Macaca mulatta: one gene and its partner. The protein of the gene in region 1 binds, or shares a complex with, the protein of each later gene. Links are inferred from orthologs where the notes say so. Each region holds a gene or a part of one and is shown on either strand. Other genes may lie near its edges.

Region 1 (4,040 bases):
TTGGGTAACTGCGGAAAATGTGACCGCAGCCGTCCAAATATGGAGGGAAGGAGGTGCACCAGGGAGGCATTGTCTTGGCCTCACCAGGACACCTTTAATGCTCTCAATTCAGACTTTTAAATCCTTACATTTTTAGAACTACAAGACTTTACAGCAATAAGAAAGGCAAAAGTGTCAGCGGCTGAGCTACTCTGAATTGCGGGAAGCTGAGGCATCTGCTCCTCCTGCACCTGGTTTCTTAAAGAGCAGATTCTGATTCCTCTATGTCACCCCAGGAAGAGCACGAGGAACCCTTCGAGGCCGGTGAGGGATCAGCACAGCAGCCCACTCTGTCTTGGGAACTACCAGCCTCTGAAAACCAAGTGGCCTTGACTCCTGTCACCCGTCACTGCTGTTCATTTACTGCTTCTAATGTGCTCTAGACTTGGAAATATGGTAACAAACTTGTTACAAATGTGTACACGATGAGCATAATGAGTTGAAAGGAGGGCCTGGTCCCTAGGGGAGAGTGCCTGGGCTTGGGGAGGGGCCCATCAGAGGCCCCCTCTAGACTGTCTGATTCTCCCTTGGTTCTGAAGGTTGGTCAGCTTTCCAGAAGTGTGGGGACAGTCTCTGCCAAGCTTATGGAATTGTGTGTTTCTGGCTCACTCTGCCAGAGTAGTTTTCAAAAGGTAAAAGCACACCCAGAGCCTGTCTTTCTTCTGACTAAACGCCAAGTGGCCCTGCCAGCTGTTCAATGACCTGACAGAGCCGTGGTTTGCTGAGTCCTGGTGAAGTTACATCATGGCTTAAAAACAGCAGTGTGACGACCAGTATTTTTGAGAAAGTTCAGTGTGTATGAGAAATAGTGCACAGGAGAGGAATCTTTCCTTGTTCCTTGTAAGCACTGCAGATGTGGCTCACAGGGGAACATTACCTGGCCCAAAGGCAAGAGCATATCAGAAGCCTCTGTCTCCTGCGAGAAACCTGGGAAAAATCAACTGTAGGGTAACAGAAAATCAAAAACCTGGGAATTAAATTAGACCTCTGAGACTGCCCAATCTGAGTCCCTCCGAACAAATGAAACTGAGGCCCAGACTGGGAGCCAAGGCTCCCAGCAGCAGCCAGCTGGCTGACGCAGGGCTCCCCCTTCCCACCTGGCACTCCAGTCTCCACAGAAAGCCAGGGCTGCGTTAGTTCTATACCAATGAATCACACCAAGGCGACAGTGACAGATAACTGCAAACACCCACGGTACCATCCCCGCGCTGGCACACCACACAGCTTCCACTTAAAAAAAACAACGGAGTCCCTTTCTTCATTATAGTCATATAGCACACAAAACTCAATTCACCTTGTATTTTAAAACTCAATTTCCAAATAAAGCCTTCAGGTAGAGTCCTATTTTCTTCTCAGGCACACCCAGTCTGGGACCAGAAGCCCCAGGTCGGGGTAGAAGTTGGCATCTCCCCTTGGAAGCCAAGAAGTCTAGTGATCCTGCTGTGCCATATAAAAGTGAGAGGGGTCCAGGGGGGCTCTGGCCATGGTGTGGGGTTCTTAACACATTTCCCGGACTTAAGGCCCCTCCTCCCAAATTACAGCCCACCCAGGATTCAGCACCCAAGTTGAGGCCTTCACTGAACCTCTGAAGCTCATCCTGCCCCAGGGCGATGGGAAGATCCTGCAGACAGCCTGGGCCTGGGCCTCAGTTTGCTCATCTGTCAGGCTGAGGGGTTACTCTGGGTGATTTCAGGGTGCCTTCTGGCTCTGTTCTGTATGAATCAGCTTTCCAAACGGGTTCCTTCTGTGTAGGTTACAGAAACCCTGGCAACCAACTCGTCATCCCTTACCCTGGCCTTCCTGAAGGGGGAAGCAGGCCACCTCCCACCTCCTGGTCTATGTCTGGGACTTGGCAGCCAAAGTACATCCCAGAAGGTAGGTGCGACTGCTGCACCAAAGAGTGGACACCCCCATTCCTTTCTATCCAGTCCGGGGAGAGGGTATTAATACAGGGTGGTCCAGGGGAGGCAAAGGGGCGAACATCAGGCGGTCTCCCTGCCCTCAGGTTCCCAGGCCTGGCTTGGCACAGGGACTTCCTTGTCCCTCTGATCACCTATTCCAGGAGACCCGTGGGTGTCCAGGAAAAGCTCCTAGATCAGCGCCCTTCCACAGCCCTTCCCCAGCCCAGGACTTGGCCCTGTGGCCTCAGAGGAGGCAGTCAGCTCCCCGAGGGACCTCCAGATCCCAGGGCCGGCTGCGCTGACCCCTGATTTCCTTGGCCTTCCCCAGGGGAGGGGAGGGAGGGTTCCCAAAAGAGAATCGCCCACGGAACCGCAGCCCACGCGCAGTCACTCAGCAACTCGGTGCCCTACACACGCTGCCGCCTCACCTTTCGGACCTCAGGCTCCTGAGCTGCGAAACGGGGGTTCGAGTCCCCAACCCGCGGTGTCAGCGCAATTCAAACGAGCGCACCCTGCGCGCAGCTCGGCCGCCCTCCACCTGAGACAGGGCCAACGGCACACGCCCCCACGCCGGCGCCGTTTCAAGCAGAGGAGTCCAGCGGCCCAGGGAACTCCCGGCGGCGCCGGGACCCCGACCTGCCCGAGGCCAACGCGCGGGCGGCGGTTACGTAAGCCGCAGCGGGGCCGCGCCGCGCCACTTACCGCCCGGCCGCGTTCGCGTCGGCCCGTCCGCCGGTCCCTCCGCCGACTCGTGGCTCTGTCCGCCCGGACCCGCGCCCGCTGCCGCCGCCGCCACCACCGCCCACAGCTGCACGTAGCCCCTCAGCGCCGCCGCCTCCGCCGCGGCCGAGTCGCCGCTGTCACATAGTGGAAAACGTGACCGCGCGCGCCGCGCCCGCCCCCGGCGTCCGCCATTGGCCGCGACACCGTCTCATCTGCATACACGTGGGGCGGGGCCCACTAGCGCCGCGCGCCCATTGGTAGCGGTGCCCGTCGCTCTTTTTACATAAGACGCACATGGAACTCCATGTTCACCTCGTCGGTTCTTCAATGGAGATGCGGCGCGTTCTTGCCCCCCGTCGTCCTCCCTAGTGGTCTCATCCACTTCCGGCGTCGGCGCCTTCCATTCACGACGCCCTCGAGTCCGCCAGCTCCGGGAGCGCGGAGTGGCGCGTACCATTGCGGGCGGGGGAGCTGGGCGCGGGGCTCCTGTGCACCTCCGGCCGGCCTGGCCGACCTGGCGCCCCGAAGCCCGACCAGGGAAACCTCCACCTCCGGCCACCGGCCAGAGGCGCGCCCCCAGCGGCCAGGGCCGCGGGAAAGTCTGCGCAGCATGCTTCATTCACACATTCATTCATTTACTCATTCACTCATTCGTCGCCGGGCCCCAGAGCAGCCTAGGAGAAGGTGGCTGCACCGCCCTGCAGCAGCTGCTGGGGCACGCCCACCCGGGCCTCAGAGGTGCCTGTGGTCCACACTTGTCCCGGCAGTTACCACGTGTTACAATTTTTGGTTCAGGAAATAGAGTCACTGTTACTCTGGGGAGGTACAAAAGAAAGAAATGATGTTGTCTCTGCCCCCAAGCGCATCACTAGGGAGAAAGGACTGTCTCATAAAAAGGAAACTTAATCAAATGCTAAATTGGGCGATGTGGGCTATAAATTAACCAGAGCTATCCCCACAGGCTCCGTGAGAAAGGCAGCACTTCCAGGGCGGGTAGGATGGGCCCTGAGAAAGGGACACCTTAGGAAGGTGCAAGCGGTAGAGACGGAGAAGCCCGTGGTGGGAGGTTGTCCTGGGAGCCAGTGCGGCAGCGTGCATCACCTTGTCTGAGGGTTTGCTGTTTCAGTAAGCATTGTTTGGGGCATGATGAGCCTCTAAACTTCCATTTAAAGTGTCAGGAGAGAGAGTACAATTTCCCCTGGTCTGGGTAGAAGCCTGAGACTTACAGGACAGGCAGGAGCTTGCAGGCTCCCATGCAGCAGACTCTGAAAGTGCAGGCTCCCATGGGGAAGGCGAGATTGTCCAGGAAGCTGGAACCCGCAGCATCTCTCTTTACTCTTCTTGTTCTTCTTTACCTGGACTCGCCTGGGGACCAGG
Region 2 (3,515 bases), on another chromosome or scaffold:
CCATGACGAAGACACGGTGCATAAGGAACAGCCTGAGACGATGACTCAGAGGGGACAGGAAATTACATTTCCCCAAGAGGGGCATAAAAGGCCCTTCCTGCTCTGGGAAAGGAGAAGCCAGTGTTTTGACGACATTCGGGAGGCTTCCAAGATAAGCGCTGCCAGGGAGGTGCAGAGCTGAGGCCACAGGACGGGTGAGAAGGGAGGAGAGGCCGTAAAAGCAAAGATGATGACAGATTGCGTCTACTGGTCCTCAGGCAGGGCTGGACCGAGTGAGACACAGCACAGCCCTCTGTCCAGGCTTCTCAAGGTCAGTGCTGCCCTCCACTGGCTGGCCTACAGAACACAGCCTGTCGGAGAGCAGGGGGCCTGGAGCAGCCTCAGACCCTGCAATGGGCCTTTTCCCCACTGCTTCACACACAGGTCTCAGCTTTCTTTTTGTTGAGCATGACTCACTTTAATAGGTAGAAAGTGCCACCCCTCACCCCCATGCCTCCCTTTTTCCCTTAGCTAGCAAAAAAAAAAAAAACAAAAAAAAAAAAACAGAAAAGGGCTTGACTTTTAAATCTCTGATAAAAGTCAGAATGGTGGGATTTTTGAGCTGAAATCCTAAAAGTCATGCAGTCCCACCAGATTGTTATTATTATTGTTTTTAGAGATGGAGTCTCACTATGTTGGTTTGGCCAGGTTGGTCTTGAACTCCTGGCCTCAAGCGATCCTCCCACTTTGGCCTCCCAAGGTGCTAGTAATCCTAGCACGAGCCACCACAGCAGGCCCAATGGTAAGGGTCACACGGATATGATCCAGAAAGTACTTATTCCCTAAGCCAGGATTGAACCCGGCTGCCACTGTAAAATGGTAAAGCTTTAGTGGCTGAGCATTGGGTGTTCCCACCAGATTTTCATCTAGTTTGTTATGTTTTAACCTTCAGCTGGCAGGGCAGTAGGCACCCCCGCTCCCACCTTCCTTCCTGAGGTTGAATCTAGACTGCTGTCACTCACTCTCAGGCATCCTTGCTTGGCAGCTCTGGGGTTGGCAACTCTGCCACCTTGGCCCGTTTGCTGAGTTCTTCACCAGGTGGTTCCTCAGCTGCTTCCAGCTTGCGTTTGGGGGATGCTGGGCCACTGGGTAGTGGTCTTGGGCCTGTAGGGAAGCGTGTCAAAGGGTCACACAGACTGTGCATGCAGCCAAACTGACCCCACACTATGCAGCAGCGGTCTTTAGGGGACAGGTAGCACACTCATCAATGGAATGCCAGCATGCTGCTCCTCAGACTTGCCCCTCGGCCTTGCTTTCAGCAGTGACTTTGCCTGGAAATGTGCAAGGAGAACATGACCGAGCAGGCCTGCTGGTAGCAGGGCCAGCTTTTGGGCCCCAAATGGCATGGGCTATGGGCCAGAGACTGACTTGGCCTGCCTGCTGTCCTTGCTTTGAAGGTGAGGCATTCCCTCTGCAACTCTGAATCAGCCTCCCTGAGCAGCAAAGAGCAGGGCCCCTGAGAAGGAGGCATGCTGCCCATGGAGGCAGCCTAGCTGGCCCAACTAGAAAAACCCGTGTTCGTGCCATCTCATGTTACTCATCTTCATCCCCAAGAAGGGAGGCGGCTCCAAATGCAGCAAATCTGTCCAGTCTTTCTCTGTGTGGCCACCACCCTGTCTGTGCTGCCTCCTCTTTGGCCTCCCTATGCCCGCTCTGGCCTACACTGTCCAATCTCTACCCAGCAGGCCAGGGAGTTTTTTCAGACCTAAGTCCAATGATGCCCTGCCCTACTGACCATCCTTCAGTGCACTGAAGGCTGAATCCTAGTCCTCGTCTTGGACATCGGGCCTGCCACATGCTGCTCATGCTGTATCTTGTCCTCATTTCCCCAGCTCCTCACTGGGACATGCCGCCACACTGACCTCCCTTCGGTTCCTTGAATGGGCTAAGCTTGGTACTGCTTATGAGCTTTTTCTTGCTACTCCTTCTGTCTGGAATGGTATTTTCTCAGTGTGTGGCAGGCCTGGCTACTGCTCATGACGTGGGTCTCTGCTTACAGAGGTGTTCCCCGACTACTCCAATCTCAAGTGACACAGAAGAAACTTTTCTTTCCCAGTCCCTCTGTCAAGGCGCTTGACTTTCTTTTCCTCCAAAGCACTGGTTATCTGAAATGATCCGACTTGGTTCCTTTACTATCTGACTGCCCTGGGTGGAATATAAGCTCCATTGGGCAAGGCCTCCTTCTGGCCTCAGTCCTGAATGACTGAAGTGCTGGCACAGGCCACAGGAGGCCATTGGAGGTGGGCTGCTGCTGCTCACCTGCACTGTTCACGCTCCCAGCCTGGCTCGAGCTGGGCTCTGCCACAGGGTGACTGAGGTCTTCCACACAGGAAGGGACCGATGCCAGTAGACCTGGGAGAGAGGCGGGGAGTAATCAGAGTGCCATCCCGCAGGATTGCAGGGGGTTACAGGGAAGGATGAAGCAAGCTGGGGTGGGGAGGATAGGAGCAAGACACTGAGGTTCCATTTCTTCTCACTGCCCCACAACTACTCAGGGAGGCCCAGTCCATCCCAGCCTGCAGTGTCCCATACCCAGAGAAGGTGTCAACCTGAAAGACAGCACTCAGCCTCCCTTTGCAAGTATCTGGCCATCCCCATCTGGCACCCCCGAGCCTGCAGGTGCTGTCCTTCCCTTCAGTGAGCTAGGTGTTTGTGTCCTTACAGAGTCCCCGGTAACGCGAGAGCTGCTGGTAAATCTGCTTCATTCGTTCAATGTTCAGCCGGCTGGTCTCGGCATGGTTGACGATGGGCCGTGGGTAGTCCACACCAATGATGCACTTGGCTGCCTTCTGAATTGACTCTGGGGCATTCCAGGGTTCATAGATGTATCGAGAGGGGAACCCTTTCAATTTTGGCAGGTATCGCCTGAAATAAGACACACCAGATGACCCATCAGCATACCTAGACCCTCCTTCAAAGGGCCCTGGGTATCCCATCCTAGTAGGAGACCACAGTGGTCAGAAGCCAGAGAGCGTGGTCTGCATCCTCACCTGATGTAGTCTCCACTGGGGTCCGTACGACGGCCGAAGCCCACAGGGCAGTAGCAGTGGAAGAACTGCTGGAAGAAAGCACTGCAGGACAGCCACATCCAGCTGCCTGCGTTCACGCTGAAATCTGCATCCAGGAGCAGCTCATCAAATACCTAGATAGGGGAGAGGATGATCAGCCTCCTTGGGGATCTGCTGCCATGTTTTTTCCCAAGTCACCACAGTGCCCCCAGGAGCCAGAGCCCTTCTGCTGAAGGCAAGCCACAGAGGATCTGGAGGGGATCTCCTGGACCCAGAAATCCCACCCCATCCCTCAGCCCAGAAGGGGGCTGCCCTTTGCTGGTCCTGACCAGAGGGTATAGGCCAGCTTTTCGCTGAGAGAGCACTCACCCGGACCCCGCTCTCCCAGCTGACCCAGAGGTCCCCGCGGGTCAGGAAGCAGGCCACGGCGTGCCGGGCCAGGTGGTGGATCCAGCCCTCCTGCCTCAG

The links.
Region 2: the proteins of PER2 (region 1) and CRY2 are in contact, whole or in part, in a crystal structure (PDB 4U8H), measured with the Mus musculus proteins. The link is inferred for Macaca mulatta from reciprocal best matches to the Homo sapiens genes PER2 and CRY2. Residues at the interface, in NP_035196.2 of Mus musculus: Tyr1132, Leu1134, Gln1135, Asp1136, Pro1137, Trp1139, Leu1140, Met1142, Ala1143, Asn1144, Thr1145, Ile1149, Met1150, Met1151, Thr1152, Tyr1153, Gln1154, Leu1155, Arg1158, Asp1159, Leu1160, Val1163, Leu1164, Asp1167, Gln1168, Lys1170, Leu1171, Leu1174, Gln1175, Ser1177; in NP_034093.1 of Mus musculus: Trp58, Ser63, Ser64, Val65, Lys163, Leu166, Thr167, Lys169, Arg170, Glu215, Leu216, Gly217, Phe218, Asn330, Pro331, Ile332, Cys333, Ile334, Gln335, Ile336, Pro337, Asp339, Asn341, Pro342, Glu343, Leu345, Ala346, Lys347, Ala349, Glu350.

Annotation. Positions count from the first base shown.
Region 1 is NC_133417.1:143,533,695-143,537,734, forward strand, and holds the start of PER2 (period circadian protein homolog 2), read right to left. Parts: upstream 2,807-4,040; 5' UTR 2,369-2,806; intron 1-2,368. UniProt on the Homo sapiens protein: Transcriptional repressor which forms a core component of the circadian clock.
Region 2 is NC_133419.1:19,745,866-19,749,380, forward strand, and holds part of CRY2 (cryptochrome-2), read right to left. Parts: coding exon 3,417-3,515; intron 3,182-3,416; coding exon 3,030-3,181; intron 2,905-3,029; coding exon 2,702-2,904; intron 2,392-2,701; coding exon 2,265-2,391; intron 1,176-2,264; coding exon 1,004-1,175; 3' UTR 1,002-1,003; intron 1-1,001. UniProt on the Homo sapiens protein: Transcriptional repressor which forms a core component of the circadian clock.